Linked DNA regions of Anolis sagrei. Each later gene encodes a partner of the first gene's protein in a complex. Links are inferred from orthologs where the notes say so. Each region holds a gene or a part of one and is shown on either strand. Other genes may lie near its edges.

Region 1 (7,079 bases):
GTCATATCTCCATGGTCACGGATGATTTTCCTCACATGCTCCGGAGGCATGTCCTCCTTCTGCGCATCCACAAAGCCAAACTTCCGCTTCTCAGCGTAGCGCTTGGCCTGCAGCTGCTGCCATTTGCGGGCTGCGAAAGCCAGAACACACTCACAATAGAGGCAGAGCTTTCCCCAAAAGAGCCAAAGCACCCCCCGCCCAAAGGGAATGATACTGCCAGGATCCTATAATTAAGGCCTGTCGTATATTAGGGATTTACTCATTATTTTTATTATACTCTGCTTTTTTTCTCTATGAATAAGAGACTCAGAGGGGCTTAGAGTTGCCCTTGGGCTGAGAATTGCGGTATATAAGCACAGTAAATAAATAAATAAAACAAATAAATAGAGTGAAGCCAATAATAATAATAATAATAATAATAATACTTTATACCCCGCTCCATCTCTCCCAGGGGGACTCAGTGCGGCTTACATGAGGCCTTGTCCAAAAATACAGTATCATAATATAACACAAAAGCATAACAAAACCAGAAATAAAATACATCAAATGCAAAAGCAATATAATAAATGAAGAACAAAAGCAAATCAAACATTAAAACACAGAGGATTAGGCTGGGCAAGGCCGAACTCAATGATAAATTTGTTAAACGCTGGGAGATAGGACAATATAAATTATTAGAAGGAGGATCCGGGGACAGGGAAGGATTTAATTGCACGAACCATAAAATAAAGTGCTTCTGAGGTCATTTTATGCAAAGTTTGGTCAGGGAGTATCTTACATTTAGGCCAATACAATTTAAGGCCTAAAATACACAAACATTAAAATAGAATTCAATATTAATGGTATATAAATAAACTATTATTATTACTTAGATCTTGCTATATTTCTCTAAAAAAATACTCAAAGCAGCTTATTGTAAAACCAATGCATACAATTGAAATCCACCTAAAAATATGCCAATATTAAAATATAATTAAATGTCAATGGTATTATAATAAGCAGTAAAAACTCTTAAATCTGATTAAATAACATAGACCTATGACGGAATAATTTGACAGATCAGCCTGGCTATGTCAACTAACAAGGCGATATAAGAGCGTGAACATATCGTACCTTTCTCCTGGAGCTTCTCCTCGGACATGTAGTCTGGCAGCGGAGCCATAGGGGCCGGCATCGGAGGGCAGGGCCCCCGGAAGGGAGGGAACACGCCAGTTGCCATGGCCGCAGGTCAGGCCTAAGGGAAGGGAAACAAACATGTTATTAATATATACTATTAGTATAATACATTACTATGGTATATTATTATATTGTACTATACCACTATAATGTCATATAACATGTATTATATAATATGCACCTGCCTATCTATAATATACTAGCCCTCCCTTGCCACACATTGCTGTGGTCTAGCCTGTGTATATATGTTTTGTGTTTGTGTGTATGTGTGTGCGTATATATTTGTGTGTATATGTGTATTTGTGTGTATATGTGGTTTTGCACATGCTTTGTAATGTATTTTTTTTTTGTTTTTCGGCTTTTTAAGTCTCTTCTGTTGTGTTTTCCAGTGTTTGTCAGTGTTTTCCAGTGATGGTCACTCGTTGGCCTGAGAGGGGTCTTGTGTCCAAATTTGGTGTCAATTTGTCCAGTGGTTTTTGAGTTATGCCAATCCCACAATAAATCATTACATTTTTATTTATATAACTAGCCGTTCCCTGCCACGAGTTGCTGTGGCCCACTCTGGTGGTCATGGGGGTTCTATGGCCCAATTCGTTGGTGGGGTTCAGAATGCTCTCTACAAATCCCAGCAACTACAACTCCCAAATGTCAAGTTTCTATTTTCCCCAAACTCCACCAATGTTCACATTTGGGCATACTGAGTATTCATGGCAAGTTTGGTCCAGATCCATCCTTGTTTGAGTCCACAGTGATCTCTGGATGTAGGTGAACTACAACTCTAAAACCAAAGGCCAATGCCCACCAAACCCTTCCAGTATTTTCTGTTGGTCATGAGAGAACTATGTGCCAAGTTTGGTTCAATTCCATCGTTGGTGGGGTTCAGAATGCTCTTTGATTGGAGGTGAACTATAAATCCCAGCAACAACAACTCCCAAATGACAAAATCTTTTTTTTTAGTGAAGGACATACATTGGGCTGTTAGGTGTCTTGTGTCCAAATTTGGTGTCAATTTGTCCAGTGGTTTTTGAGTTATGTTAATCCCACAAACGAACATTACATTTTTATTTATATAATTATACAATATAACAATACACAATAATGCACCATAATGATAATATATTAAACATAATATTATTGTTAATATATAATACACACACAACTATATATATATTACCGTTTTATTATTGAATATCTGAAGTTGTAATATTTTTATTGTGAGCTGCTTTGAGTATCAATATGGAGATAAAGTGGGATACAAATATAAATAAATAATGGGGAGGGGCAGTTAAATAAAATTCTTATCATTAATTATTATTAATATTAATTAATATTATTAATAAGACATGAGTCCTTGGCCTAGACTGGAAATTGAAGTCTTCTGCACACACTCTGTGTGTCTTTACTAATTACTCCTGTGTTAATTTATTGTAATTAATTAATTAATAATAAGCACAGGAGTAATTAGTGAAGTGTGTGCAGAAGACTTCAATTTCCAGCCTAGGCCAAGGAGCAAGGCCTTGGCCAATCAGACGCGGGCAGGAGGAAGAGTAGCCAATCAGCAAACAGTATGCAAATGCGCCAAGCGTGGGCCTAGTCCTGCTTCGGGCGCCTCCTTGGCGTAAACCAGAAACCCATTCTCGCTCCTTCTTTTCTAAAGTATCTCATTATGCATATGCAAATAAGCCCAATTATAGCGGGGAATAAAATTCGGGATGACTACTGACCTTCCGGCCTGGTATCTTCCCTTCTCTCCTCCCCTCCTTCCTTCCTTCTTCTCTCTTTTCCTCTCAGGCGAAGGACTCGTAATGGCGGCCGCCTTCGCCGCCTCTGCGTGAGAATCTCACACTGCGCAGGCGCCACTCTCCGGAAACGGATGAGGCGTGGAAAGGATTTCGCAGCCGGCCAATCGACGAGCGCTGAGAGTGAGGGGGCGGGGAAGGGAGAAGGTATCCGCCCCTTTTTTCTCTCAAACGCATGCGCAGTGAGGGCGGGAAGGCAACGCGCCGGAAAGGGAAAGGGACGGGAACCTTTGATGCGCGTGCGCACTAGCGAGGGAGCTCTCTTTTTTCTCTTTCTCCGGCGCGTGCGTAGTGAGAGTGTGAAGGCACCTTTGATGCGCATGCGCACTAGCGGGGGAGCTCGCTTGTCTCTTTCCGGCGCGTGCGCAGTGAGGGCGGGAAGGCAACACGCTTCAAAGGGAAAGGGGCGGGCTCCTTTGATGCGCATGCGCAGTAGCGAGGGAGCTCCCTTTTATCTCTCCAGCGCGTGCGCAGTGAGGGCGGCAAGGCAACGCGCCGCAAAGAGAAAGGGGCGGGCACATTTTTTGCGCATGCGCACTAGCGGGGAGTTCTCTTCTATCTCTTCGGCGCGTGCGCAGTGAGGGCGGGAAGGCAACACGCCGGGAATGAGAAAGGGGCGGGAACCTTTGATGCGCGTGCGCACTAGCGGGGATGTGCTTTTCCCCGCCCTTTCCGGCTTTCTGCTGCTGCTGCTTCCACTTCCGGTGCGCGTTCCTTTCCCCTCAGACGGCCATGCTGCTCGCTCGGGTCCTCCGCTCTTCGGCTTCCGCGGCGCTTCGGCCTTTCCAGGCGCGGACGGGCGCCTCCAGCCTGGCTCCGCGGCTGCTCCCCGCCGCCCGGCCCTTCACCCGCTCGCTGTGGCAGCTCCAGGAGCGCAGGCCTCGCGGGGGAGGGGGAGGCCTCAGGAGCCTGCCCTCCGCCCCCTGCGCATGCGCGGGCCTCCACACTGAAGGTGAGCCTCCTCCTCCTCCTCCATTCACCTCCTGGCCACGCGCCTGGCATCGTCCCCTGGACAACCTCCTTGCAGACGGCCCATTCTCTCACGCCAGAAGCGACTTGCAGTTTCTTAAGTCGCTCCTGACACCACAAGTAATAATAATAATAATAATAACAAAATAAAAATATTCTCTGAAAATAGGGTTTTGAATGCGTTCTCTCTGGGAATAGGATCTCTGTGCCTAGGAAGAGAATAATAATAATAATAATATATTATATATAATTTTATAATATTATATTATATATTATAATAATGTTAGAATTATATATATATATATATATATATATATATATAATAATCGTATAATAATGTAATTATGGGAGCTTTGGTGTGGGCTGGTTGTTGTTGTCATGCTTTCAAGTCATTTCAGACTTAGGTTGACCCTGAGCGAGGGCTGGGGAAATGACCTTGGAGGGCCGCATCCGGCCCTCAAGTCTTAGTTTGAGGATCCCTGGCTTAGACAGATAAACACATACATAGGATAGATACAGATATACTTACATAGTTGCATAGCTACAAAGAGACAGCTAGATTAGATAAACAGATGCATAGATCAGATACAGACATGCATACATAGTTGCATAGAGGGATAAATACAGATAGATCAGATAGGCAGATGCATAGATTAGATGCATAGTTGCATAGATAATAGCTACAGATAGATTAGATATATTGATAGTAATATATAATACTGATATTGTACTATACTAATAATATATTATATTGTATGTATATATTTTGTAAGCCGCTTTGAGTCCCCTGAGTAAGGGGAGAAGGGCGGGCGGCATATCCATGTCGCAAATAAATAATAAATACATAGATAGGTCCATAGATTAGGTCAGTGTTTCTCAACCTGGGGGTTGGGACCCCTGTGGGGGTCATGAGGGGGTGTCAGAGAGGTCACCAAAGACCATCAGAAAATACAGTATTTTCTGTTGGTCTTGGGGATTCTGTTTGGGAAGTCTGGCCCAATTCTATCGTTGGTGAGGTTCAGAATGCTCTCTGATTGTAGGTGAACTACAAATCCCAGCAACTACAACTCCCAAATGTCGAGGTCTATTTTCCCCCAATTCCACCAGTGTTCACATCTGAGCATATTGAGTATCCGTGCCAAGTATGGTTCAGATTCATCATTGGTTGAGTCCGTAGTTCTGTCTGGATGCAGGTGAACTACAACTCTAACATTCAAGGCCAATGCCCACCAAACCTTTCTAGTATTTTCTGTTGGTCATGGGAGTTCTGTGTGCCAAATTTGGTTCAGTTCCATTGTTGGTGGAATTCAGAATGCTCTGATTGTAGCTGAACTATAAATCCCAGCAACTACAACTCCCAAATGACAAAATCAACCCCCCCCCCCAACCCCACCAGTATTCAAATTTGGGTGTATTGGGTATTTGTGCCACATCCTACCTATCTGATACTTACACAACGATTCATAACAGAAGCAAAATGACAGTTCTGAAGTAGCAACAAAAACAATGTTATGGTTGGGGGTCAACATAACATGAGGAACTGTATTAAGGGGTCGTGGCATCAGGAGGGTTGAGAAACACTGGATTAGGTGGATAGCTCTCACCTGTGTGTTCTTGGCAGGCGACAAAGCTTTTGCGGAGTTCCTGGTGGACGAAATCAAGGAGGAGAAGAAGATCCAGAAGCACAAGTCATTGCCCAAAATGTCCGGCGGCTGGGAGCTGGACGTCCAAGGCACCGAGGCCAAGCTGGCGCGGAAAGTGGCCGGCGAGACGTAAGGGGCGCCTCCTCCTCCTCCTGGGTGGGGTCAGGTGGGGGTCTCCCACCCCTCTTGTTATATCTCTCTGGAGTTTGCTCACCTTGGGCTCCTCCTCCTGGTTCCGTCCACAGGGTCACGGTGTCCTTCAACATCAACAACAGCATCCCGCCGAGTTTTGACGAGGCTCCAGAAGGACAGAAGCCGGACGAGCAAGAAGTAAGTGGGGGTCCTTTTATTATAGACTAGCTTGGGTCCCTGGCATTGCCCGGGCTATTAGAAGAAGCCACTTTTTAATTGTCCCAAATGCCTAAGATTCTAGATGAACTACAACTCCCATCATGCCAGGGGAACTCCCTGAAAACCCATCAATATTTAGTTTGTCATGTTAGGCAAATTTGCTTTAGATGCATCCTCAGTGGGGTTCAGTGTGCTCTCTGGCTGCAGGGTGAACTACAACTCCCACTGTGGTCAGTCCTGTCAAATCCTTCCTTGGTCATGGAGGTTATGTGTGCCAAGTTAGACGCAGTTCCATCAATGGTGGGGTGCGGAGTGCACTTTGATCACAATTGAACTATAAATCCCAGTACGTACAACTAACCGATGTCAAGGCCAATCCCTCCCCCCCCCCCCCCAACTCACCAGTATTCAAATTTTGGCATATGGGGTATGCGTGCTGAATTTGGTGCAGATCCATTACTGTGTTGACATTGCTCTCTGGATGTAGGTGAACTATAAATCCTAAAAATCAAGATGAATCCCCCCAAGTCCCTCCTACATTCTTTTGTTGGTCATGGGGGTTTTGTGCGCCAAGTTAGGCCCAGGTCCATCATTGTGGGGTCCAGAGTTCCCTTTGATTGCGGGTGAACTATAAATCCCAGTACCTACAAGGACTGTGAATCAAGGTGAATTCCCCCCAAACCTTTCCAGTATTGCCAGCAGCTTACAGAATGGCAGTGGAATCCTAGAGTTGGGAGAGGCCCCCAAAGGGCATCTAGTCCAACCCCTTTCAGCCAGGTGGGAAGATGCAACCCAAACCCTCCCGACAGAGGGCCATGCGTACTCTGTTCACGAAGACTCCACCAGTTCTCCCAAAGGGAAGGCAGTGATCAAGATGGCTAAACAGAGGTCTGTTTTTTTCCTGCAGCCGGATCTCACGTCGACCCCGAACTTTGTTGTGGAAGTCACCAAAGATGACACCAAGCAGACCCTGGTGCTGGACTGCCACTACCCTGAGGACGAGGTGAGTGGAGGCCCGTGTGGGCCGTTCCCAAGTTGCAAACATCCGACTGACAAACGACTCACAGTTAAGAACAGGGCTGAAGCAACTGGGAATGAGGGGAATCCACCCCCCCCCCCTCGGAAGGGAAATCCACTCCTG
Region 2 (8,011 bases), about 30 Mb from region 1:
ATCGTCGCCGAGAAACCCAAAGATGTAAACAATGAGCAAGTTAATGCCATTGGTTCTGAGGTTTTTAGGCCGCTTGGTTTCTCCGCTTTGACTTCCTCGTTCTTTCTAAACCGTATCTGTTTTTGTCTTCTGCCCAAATTAATAAATGGCCGCAGACAATCCGACAATAATGGCACTTGATGCGAATTGTCCATCGCCACTTAATTGTGAATGTGTAAAATGTATGCAAATCATTTTTTTAAACGTATCAAGCATCTTTTAAATAAATGGATGGAACAAACGCTGGCTTCAGTGTGACTCGAAAGTTGACAATTAGTTCTAAAACGATCCAAATTGCCCTTAGTCTAGAACTACCTCAGATAAGAATGGGATGAATGACCTGAAGCTGTGAGCTGTCTCTCACATTATTTGGACCGTGCAGGCAAAGATTGCTACTCAATATGCAACTCAACCTGCTGTTTCAGGACACGAGGATGCTTTCGATAAGTGCAGTGTTTTGCAACCTGGGGGTTGGGACCCCTTGGGGGGACGTGAGGGGGTGTCACATAGTTTTCTGTTGGTTGTGGGGCTTCTGTGTGGGAAGTTTGACCCAATTCTATCACTGGTGGCATTCAGAATCTCTTTAATTGTGGGTGAACTATAAATCCCAGCAACAACAACTCCCAAATGTGAAGGTCTATTTCCTCCAAACTACCAGTGTTCACATTTGGGCATATTGAGGATTTGTGCTAAGTTTGGCCCAGATCCAAGCCACACCTTGAAACTGCTGGGCCATTAAATGCTAATCAAGGTGGCTAATTGAAACACACCCACCTCCAACAGACATGAGTTCTTTGTCCCACCCTGGACATTCCAGAGATATATAAACCCCATTTTCCTAATTTCCAACAGACCTCACAACCTCTGAGGATGCTTGCCATAGATGTGGGTGAAACGTCAGGAGAGAATGCTTCTGGAACATGGCCATACAGCCCATAAAACTCACTGCAACCCAATATTAGCTTTAAGAAAACACAGTCCCTCCTCTATAGCCCTAACCGTGAGAAAAATAAACATTGGATGTGGAAACCTTGAGGAAACACTACAAAGGTAGAAGTTCTGGGCTATGACTTGGTTCATATCCTTCAGGGTTACCTGAAGAGAGAAATCAAAACCATTTAAATCAAATCTGCAAATATGGAGGACAGACCGAATTCCTCCCAGAGTGTTCCCCAGCTCTTACACAGGACTTTTTTCACAGTCCTTTGGTGAAAGGGAAGTAAACATTGCCTTTTCTTTCTTGCCAAGCATACAAGTAGCAGCGGGATTGTCTCAGCAACAGATTTCCTTGCTGCTGAATTGTTCGCAAAGGTGCTATGGCGCATCTCTTATGGGATGCACTATTATTCCAAACTGGTACTGCATATTGCCGCTGGCCCCCAAACACATGTCAAGGGTATGCAAAGAAGTTTGCGAGGTTCAATTGTTGCCATTTAGGGCATTTCAGTTTTGCAAAGGGAGGCATACAGAAACATAACTCCCCTCTATCGTCCAGTTATATCGAGCCGCATTCATATTAGCTGATACAATTTGTGTTGCCAGTGCTTTCCCCCACTGTATTCAAGAAAGAAAAAGGTGCCTTTTCTATGTTTCTAGCATTGTGCCTCGCTGGATGTACATATCTATTAAATCCATAGTGGAAATTGCCCACCTGATACTATTATGTAAGTACGGATTATCAGTCTGTATGTAATTAATAAAGCAGAATGTATCTTACAGGTATGTTGTGTGTTTGATTTGTAAAAGCTGCTCTCTGTTACACCACTAGGCAATCCCAGTATGCATCTCCACTGTTAAATTAATCGGAAAATATATGGAAGATAGATATATGACAAGTATGTGTCTGTGTGTATATGTACTGTATATATGTTGGTGAAACGTCAGGAGAGAATGCTTCTGGAACTAGTGATTCCGGCCACGAAAGCCTTCGACAACACAATGTACTGTATATACTCGAGTATAAGCCTAGTTTTTTAGCCCTTTTTTTAAGCTGAAAAAGTCCCCCTTGGCTTATACTCGAGTCAAGGTTATTTATTATTTTACTCTGTTATTATTATTATTTCATTTATTATTGTATTCTATTTATTATTATTACATTTATCATTTTACTCTATTATACATTTATTATTTTACTGCATAATTGTTGTTATTGCTACATTCATTATTTTACTCTTTTTATTATTGTTGTTGTTATCACATTTATTATGTTCCTCTATTATTATTGGAAGGATACATAAGCACATTTACATTGAAGAAGGTAAATAATCATTTAATCAGAGTTGGACAGTCTTATCTAAAATTACAATTTTTGTAAATATTTAAAAATATATAACTTACTGGTTCTTCAATTAATGTAATTTAATTGGTATCTATTTTTATTTTGCAATTTACTCGTAGTGGCTGCATTTCCCACCCTCGGCTTATACTCGAGTCAATCCGTTTTCTCAGGTTTTTTGCGGTAAAATTAGGTGCCTCGGCTTATATTCGGGTCGGCTTATACTTGAGTATATACGGTATATATGTTTATGTATATACACAAACATATATGTTTCTATTTAGGTGACTGACCAAAGTTATGTGGTACTTATTGGCCAACGGGCTTTCAAATCCTGACTTCAAACGTGACCGATTGGGTCTTATTATCTCACCTCTTCCTAAAATGCAAACTCTATAGGGATAAAAAAAGCAGACACATACATTTATTGAGGAAAGTTAAAAAATTCCATAAGTGGAACAAAGATCTCACAGGTTTTGGGAGAAGAGTCCAGTCTTCGGTTTATCTAAAGTCCATTCCCCTTGGCTGTTTTCTTTAAGTAATCCTCTTTTTTGCTCTAGTGTCATGGAAGTCAGCAGAGGAAAGACCCTAGAACTCAAAGTTGCCAAACTGAGAGGAGCGATTGTTGGGTTTGGGCTGGGGCTTGTAGCCGATCCGGTCGTGGATCATCTGTTCTCGGCTCTTGTGGTCGATGTTCAATCCCAGCGCGCCTTCGCCATCGCTGGCTCCCACCACATCCACTTCTTCCCGCTGCTTCTTGCAACTCTGAAAAGGCAAAACGGAAACACGACAAAAAATTAAACACGGAATTACACCGTCGCCAAGTTACAAACAAGTTAGGTTCTGTAGGTTTGTTCTTAAGCTGCATTTGACCTTTAAAGCCCAACATGGTTTGGCTCCAGGCTATTTATTTATTTATGATATATGTGTGTGTGTGTAAGAACACTTTGTTTATACCCTGCCACCATCTCCCCAAAGGGGACTCGGGGCAGCTAACATGAGGCCAAGCCTAAAAATAATACAACAAAGTTAGACACAAAATAACAGAAAAATTACATCACAACAAAATACATGAAGTAAAAAAATAAATGTCCTTCATTCGAAAAAATTGATTTTGTCATTTGGGAGTTGTAGTTGCTGGGATTTATAGTTCATCTACAATCAAAGAGCATTCTGAACTCCACCAATGATGGAATTGAACCAAAGGTGACACACAGGACTCCCATGACCAACAGAAAAGACTAGAAGGGTTTGGTGGGCATTGACCTTGAGTTTGGGAGTTGTAGTTCATCTACATCCAGAGAGCACTGTGGATTCAAACAATGATGGATCTGGACAAAACATGGCACAAATATTCCAATCAAAGAGCATTCTGAACTCCACAAATGACAGAATTGGGGCAAATTTCCCACGCTGAACCCCATCACCAACAGAAAATACTTAAGACCATCCAATCCAACTCTCTTCATCAGGGCAAGAAAATCTAATCAAACCCCTCCTGACAAAGAGCCATCCAGCCATAGATATACATAGATATATATCAGAGTTTCGCAACCTTCCTAATGCCATGGCCCCTTAACACAGTTCCTCATGTTGTGGTGACCCCCAATCATAAAATTATTTTTGTTGCTACTTCATAACTGTAATTTTGCTATTGTTGTGAATTATAATGTAAATATCTGATATACAGGACACAGTTTTATTCGCTGGACCAATTTGGCACGAATACCCAATACACACAAATTTGAATAGTGGTGGAGTTGAAGGGGGGTTGTAGTTCAGCTACATCCTGAGATCACTGTGGACTCAAACAATGATGGATCTGGATCAAACTTGGCACGAATCCTCAATATGCCAAAATGTGAACACTAGTGGAGTTTTGGGGAAACAGACATTGACATTTGGGAGTTGTAGTTGCTGGGATTTATAGTTCACCTACAATCAAAGAGCATTCTGAACCCCAACAACAATAGAATTGGGCCAGACTTCCCACACAGAATCCCCATGACCACCAGAAAATACCATGTTTTCTGATGAAAACCCCCAGGTTGAGAAACACTGATATATATGATTCACACACACACAGATATAATATTATAGATTTGAAAGGGACCCCTAAAGAAGGACAATGATATAGTGCATATTCCAGAGTAGGCAAACCAGACACTTTCCACATCAACACTGACAAAGAGACAACAAGAAATACTGTTTACCCACAAGCATAAAGACATTACACAGATTAGAAACCATTACTTTATTTTTCCAGATCACCAGACTGGGCCACAGCAACGTGTGGCAGGGGACAGTTAGTAGTGAATAAATATGATTCAACTATGGGCTCATATATTTTATAGGAGGAGCTGCTCTAGTTGAAGGAACTGAAGGAGAAGTGCCTCTGAGCATGCACAGAGTGCCCCCAAAGGGGAATTTCAAAGCAAATGGGGCAACAAACCCCTCTTAAGCTGGTTATACGCCCTTTCCTTCCAACTACCCACCTCCAGCTCCTTTCTGGCCCCCTCAAACTCCTCAATATCGTCCAGCTTGAGCTCCAAACGCGTTGGCTTCCGACGTAGCATCTTTAGGACCAAACGGGGACCCGTTGCTCGTCCACGCATGCGCAGTGATTACGACCAAGCCAGACATCCCGTGTGCGCATGCGTGTCGCCAGATGAGCCTCTCCGTGATCGAACGTGATTGGCTGAGCCTCTCCCTCCTTGAAGCCGCATCCGCCGGAAGTCGCCATTAGTAATGATGGCTGCCTCGAGAAGCTTATCGGTAAGGGAAACAACTCATGACATTATATTATTTTCGGGGAAAAACACATTTAAGACCGATATAAACAATTAAAACATGTAAATAAGACAACATACGGCCCACCACCCAAGTGAAGGCTTTCAGCCAGGGACAATATCCTAGATTTCATGTGTTTCCTCCACCACAGGCATCCCAGTGTTCCTGACTCTCTCCATTGGTGTGGAATTTGCATGACAATATAGTAATACAATATAGTAATTGTATATTCTGTATTATATGTAATATTATGTAATCGCAGCATAGTAGTATAGCACAATATAGTCATTTGATACCAATATTGTGCTATGCTAATAATGTGATTGGCCAATTGTATTATTATTGGTATTATATTGTATTACATGATGATATTATGATACATATTATATGTACATAATACATTGTATGTACATATAATATTGATCATAATATGATCATGTAATACAATATAATGGCAATAATAATACAATATAATGGGTTGTTGTAGGTTTTTTCAGGCTATATGGCCATGTTCTGGAGGCATTCTCTCCTGACGTTTCGCCTGCATCTATGGCAAGCATCCTCAGAGGTTATGAGATCTGTTGGAACTAGGAAAGTGGGTTTATATATCTGTGGAATGACCAGGGTGGGACAAAGGACTCTTGTCTGTTGGAGCTAGGTGTGAATGTTTCAACTGACCACCTTGATTAGCATTTGATGGCCTGAGGCAACCTTTTGTTGAGAGGTGATTAGATGTCCTTGATTGTTTCCCCTCTGTTGTTGTGCTATTGTAATTTTTGAGTTTTTTAATACTGGTAGCCAGATTTTGTTCATTTTCATGTTTTGTTCAATTTCTGTTGAAATTGCCCACATGCTTCTTGTGGATTTCAGTGGCTTCTCTGTGTAGTCTGACATGATGGTTGTGAGAGTGGTCCAGCATTTCTGTGTTCTCGAATAATATGCTGTGTCCAGGTTGGTTCATCAGGTGCTCTGCTATGGCTGACTTCTCTGGTTGGAGTAGTCTGCAGTGCCTTTTATGTTCCTTGGTTCGTGATTTGTCATGAAAATGAACAAAATCTGGCTACCAGTATTAAAAAACTCTATAATTATATAATAATTTTATATAATAATTTGTTCCAGTTTGCTCCAATAAGCATTGTCAGTGAACCTCACCTTATTCTCCTATAGGTTTGAGTGGATATATTATAGGATTTGTAGTATGGCTGCTTTGGGTATATTGTAAGAGAGATAAAGAGGGATGTTATTATTATTAGCTCCGATTAGCATTGGCAGTGATCCTCACTTTATCCTCCTTGCAGTTGGGAAAGACAAAGGCCTCCGACGAAGGCAATGGTCCTCCAGCCAAGAAAGGCCCCATTTTTTATGGGAGCCTCGAGGAGAAGGAGCGCGAGCGTCTCCTCAAGGGAGAGTCTGGGATGCTGGGCAAAGATGCCGTCAAAGCAGCGATTGAGGCCGGCAACATCAACGTCACCAGCGGTAAGAACCACTCAGTCCAAGGCTTCCTATTTATTTATTTATTATGTCAGAAGCGATTGAGGATACAGTTTTAATGTGTTAAAAACTTGGCATTCTATTAAATGTCCTTTGACCAGTAGCTGGCTACTTGGAGTGCTGCTATGAGGAGGTCCTCCATTGTGCATGTGGCAGGGCTCAGGTTTCATTGTAGTCAGTGGTTTGTGGTTTGCTCTTTTCCGCACTCATGTGTCATGGCTTCCACTTTGTGGCCCAATTTCTTAAGGTTGGCTCTGCATCTCGTGGTGCCAGAGCGCAGTCTGTTCAGTGCCTTCCAAGTCGCCCAGTCTTCTATGTGCCCAGGGGGGAGTCTCTCATTCGGTATCACGAGGGGAGTTTCTTCCACATGTGGTGGACTTGTGAAGAAGTACAAAAATATTGGAAGCTCATACACGAGGAAACCCAAAAAAATTTAGAAATTAGATTTGTTAAAAAACCAGAATACTATCTTCTAGGTATCACTGACTCGGACTTAATTTTAGACAAGTATAAAGATGTTCTCTTTACTTATATGGCCACAGCAGAAAGAATAAGTGCTTGCGAGATTGTGGAAAACTGCTAAGATCCCCGACGTTGAAGACTGGATGGACAAATTAAGGGAAGTTAAAGATATGGAAACGTTAACTTTTTTTTTTAAGGTCAACTCAGGCCCCCCAATAAAAAGGACAGATTAGACACTTTTTGAAGAATATGAAAAAGCTAAGAGACAAGGAGGATAAATATAATAGTCATATTTTTTTTCTTTTGAATTAGATATAGATAGATTTATGTTGATATAACAAACTGATTCTCCACTCCCATGGCAGAAAGAGATAGTAAATGAACGTATAGAATAGTACTAAATTGTAATAACGTAAACAGGAAGATAGTTTTAACTATTTTGAAGCAGAACAATAGCAAAAGCACAGAATGGAAGTCAACATTTTTTCAATATATTTTTTCTCTCTTTTTCTGTTTTTGTATTTTCTCTTTTCCTACTTTTCTCTTATACCAATTGTTCTCCCACTTTACATGTTCTTATCTTTATATCTATATATCTATAAATTTCTCATGCTATATTATGTCACTCTAATTTTGATGTATACTTAATAAAAATTGATTAAAAGTTTCATTTGGTATCAGCCATAGCTTGAGGTTCTGGGTTTTCGCCTGCCACTTTTGGACTCTAGCTTGCTGAGGTGTTCCTGCAAGTATCTCTGTAGATCTTAGAAAGGCATTGGCGTGCTAGCTGATAAAATCCGGCTGTGAAAGGTGTCTAAGAGAAAGGGGTGCAATACAATTCAGGCTTCCCATATGTCCAGAGATAGGGAATTTGATTGCTGACCTGAGTTCTAGTCTGGATAGAATTTGTTCATCCCAGTTCTGTCATTTACCGAGTTGTTGCTTTTGTCACCC

Evidence for each region. The genes of interacting proteins can lie anywhere in the genome.
Region 2: PRPF8 (region 1) and PRPF4 share a complex: the UniProt entries of both Homo sapiens proteins name them as parts of the U4/U6-U5 tri-snRNP complex. The link is inferred for Anolis sagrei from reciprocal best matches to the Homo sapiens genes PRPF8 and PRPF4.

The regions. Positions count from the first base shown.
Region 1 is NC_090031.1:35,466,538-35,473,616, reverse strand, and holds the start of PRPF8 (pre-mRNA-processing-splicing factor 8), read right to left. Parts: upstream 3,039-7,079; 5' UTR 2,901-3,038; intron 1,235-2,900; 5' UTR 1,220-1,234; coding exon 1,114-1,219; intron 131-1,113; coding exon 1-130. Other genes in the region: C1QBP (complement component 1 Q subcomponent-binding protein, mitochondrial), read left to right, coding at 3,627-3,927, 5,566-5,716, 5,833-5,917, 6,846-6,941. UniProt on the Homo sapiens protein: Plays a role in pre-mRNA splicing as core component of precatalytic, catalytic and postcatalytic spliceosomal complexes, both of the predominant U2-type spliceosome and the minor U12-type spliceosome.
Region 2 is NC_090031.1:5,875,494-5,883,504, reverse strand, and holds the start of PRPF4 (U4/U6 small nuclear ribonucleoprotein Prp4), read left to right. Parts: upstream 1-5,004; 5' UTR 5,005-5,062; coding exon 5,063-5,089; intron 5,090-6,402; coding exon 6,403-6,580; intron 6,581-8,011. Other genes in the region: anaphase-promoting complex subunit CDC26, read right to left, coding at 2,903-3,079, 4,810-4,929. UniProt on the Homo sapiens protein: Plays a role in pre-mRNA splicing as component of the U4/U6-U5 tri-snRNP complex that is involved in spliceosome assembly, and as component of the precatalytic spliceosome (spliceosome B complex).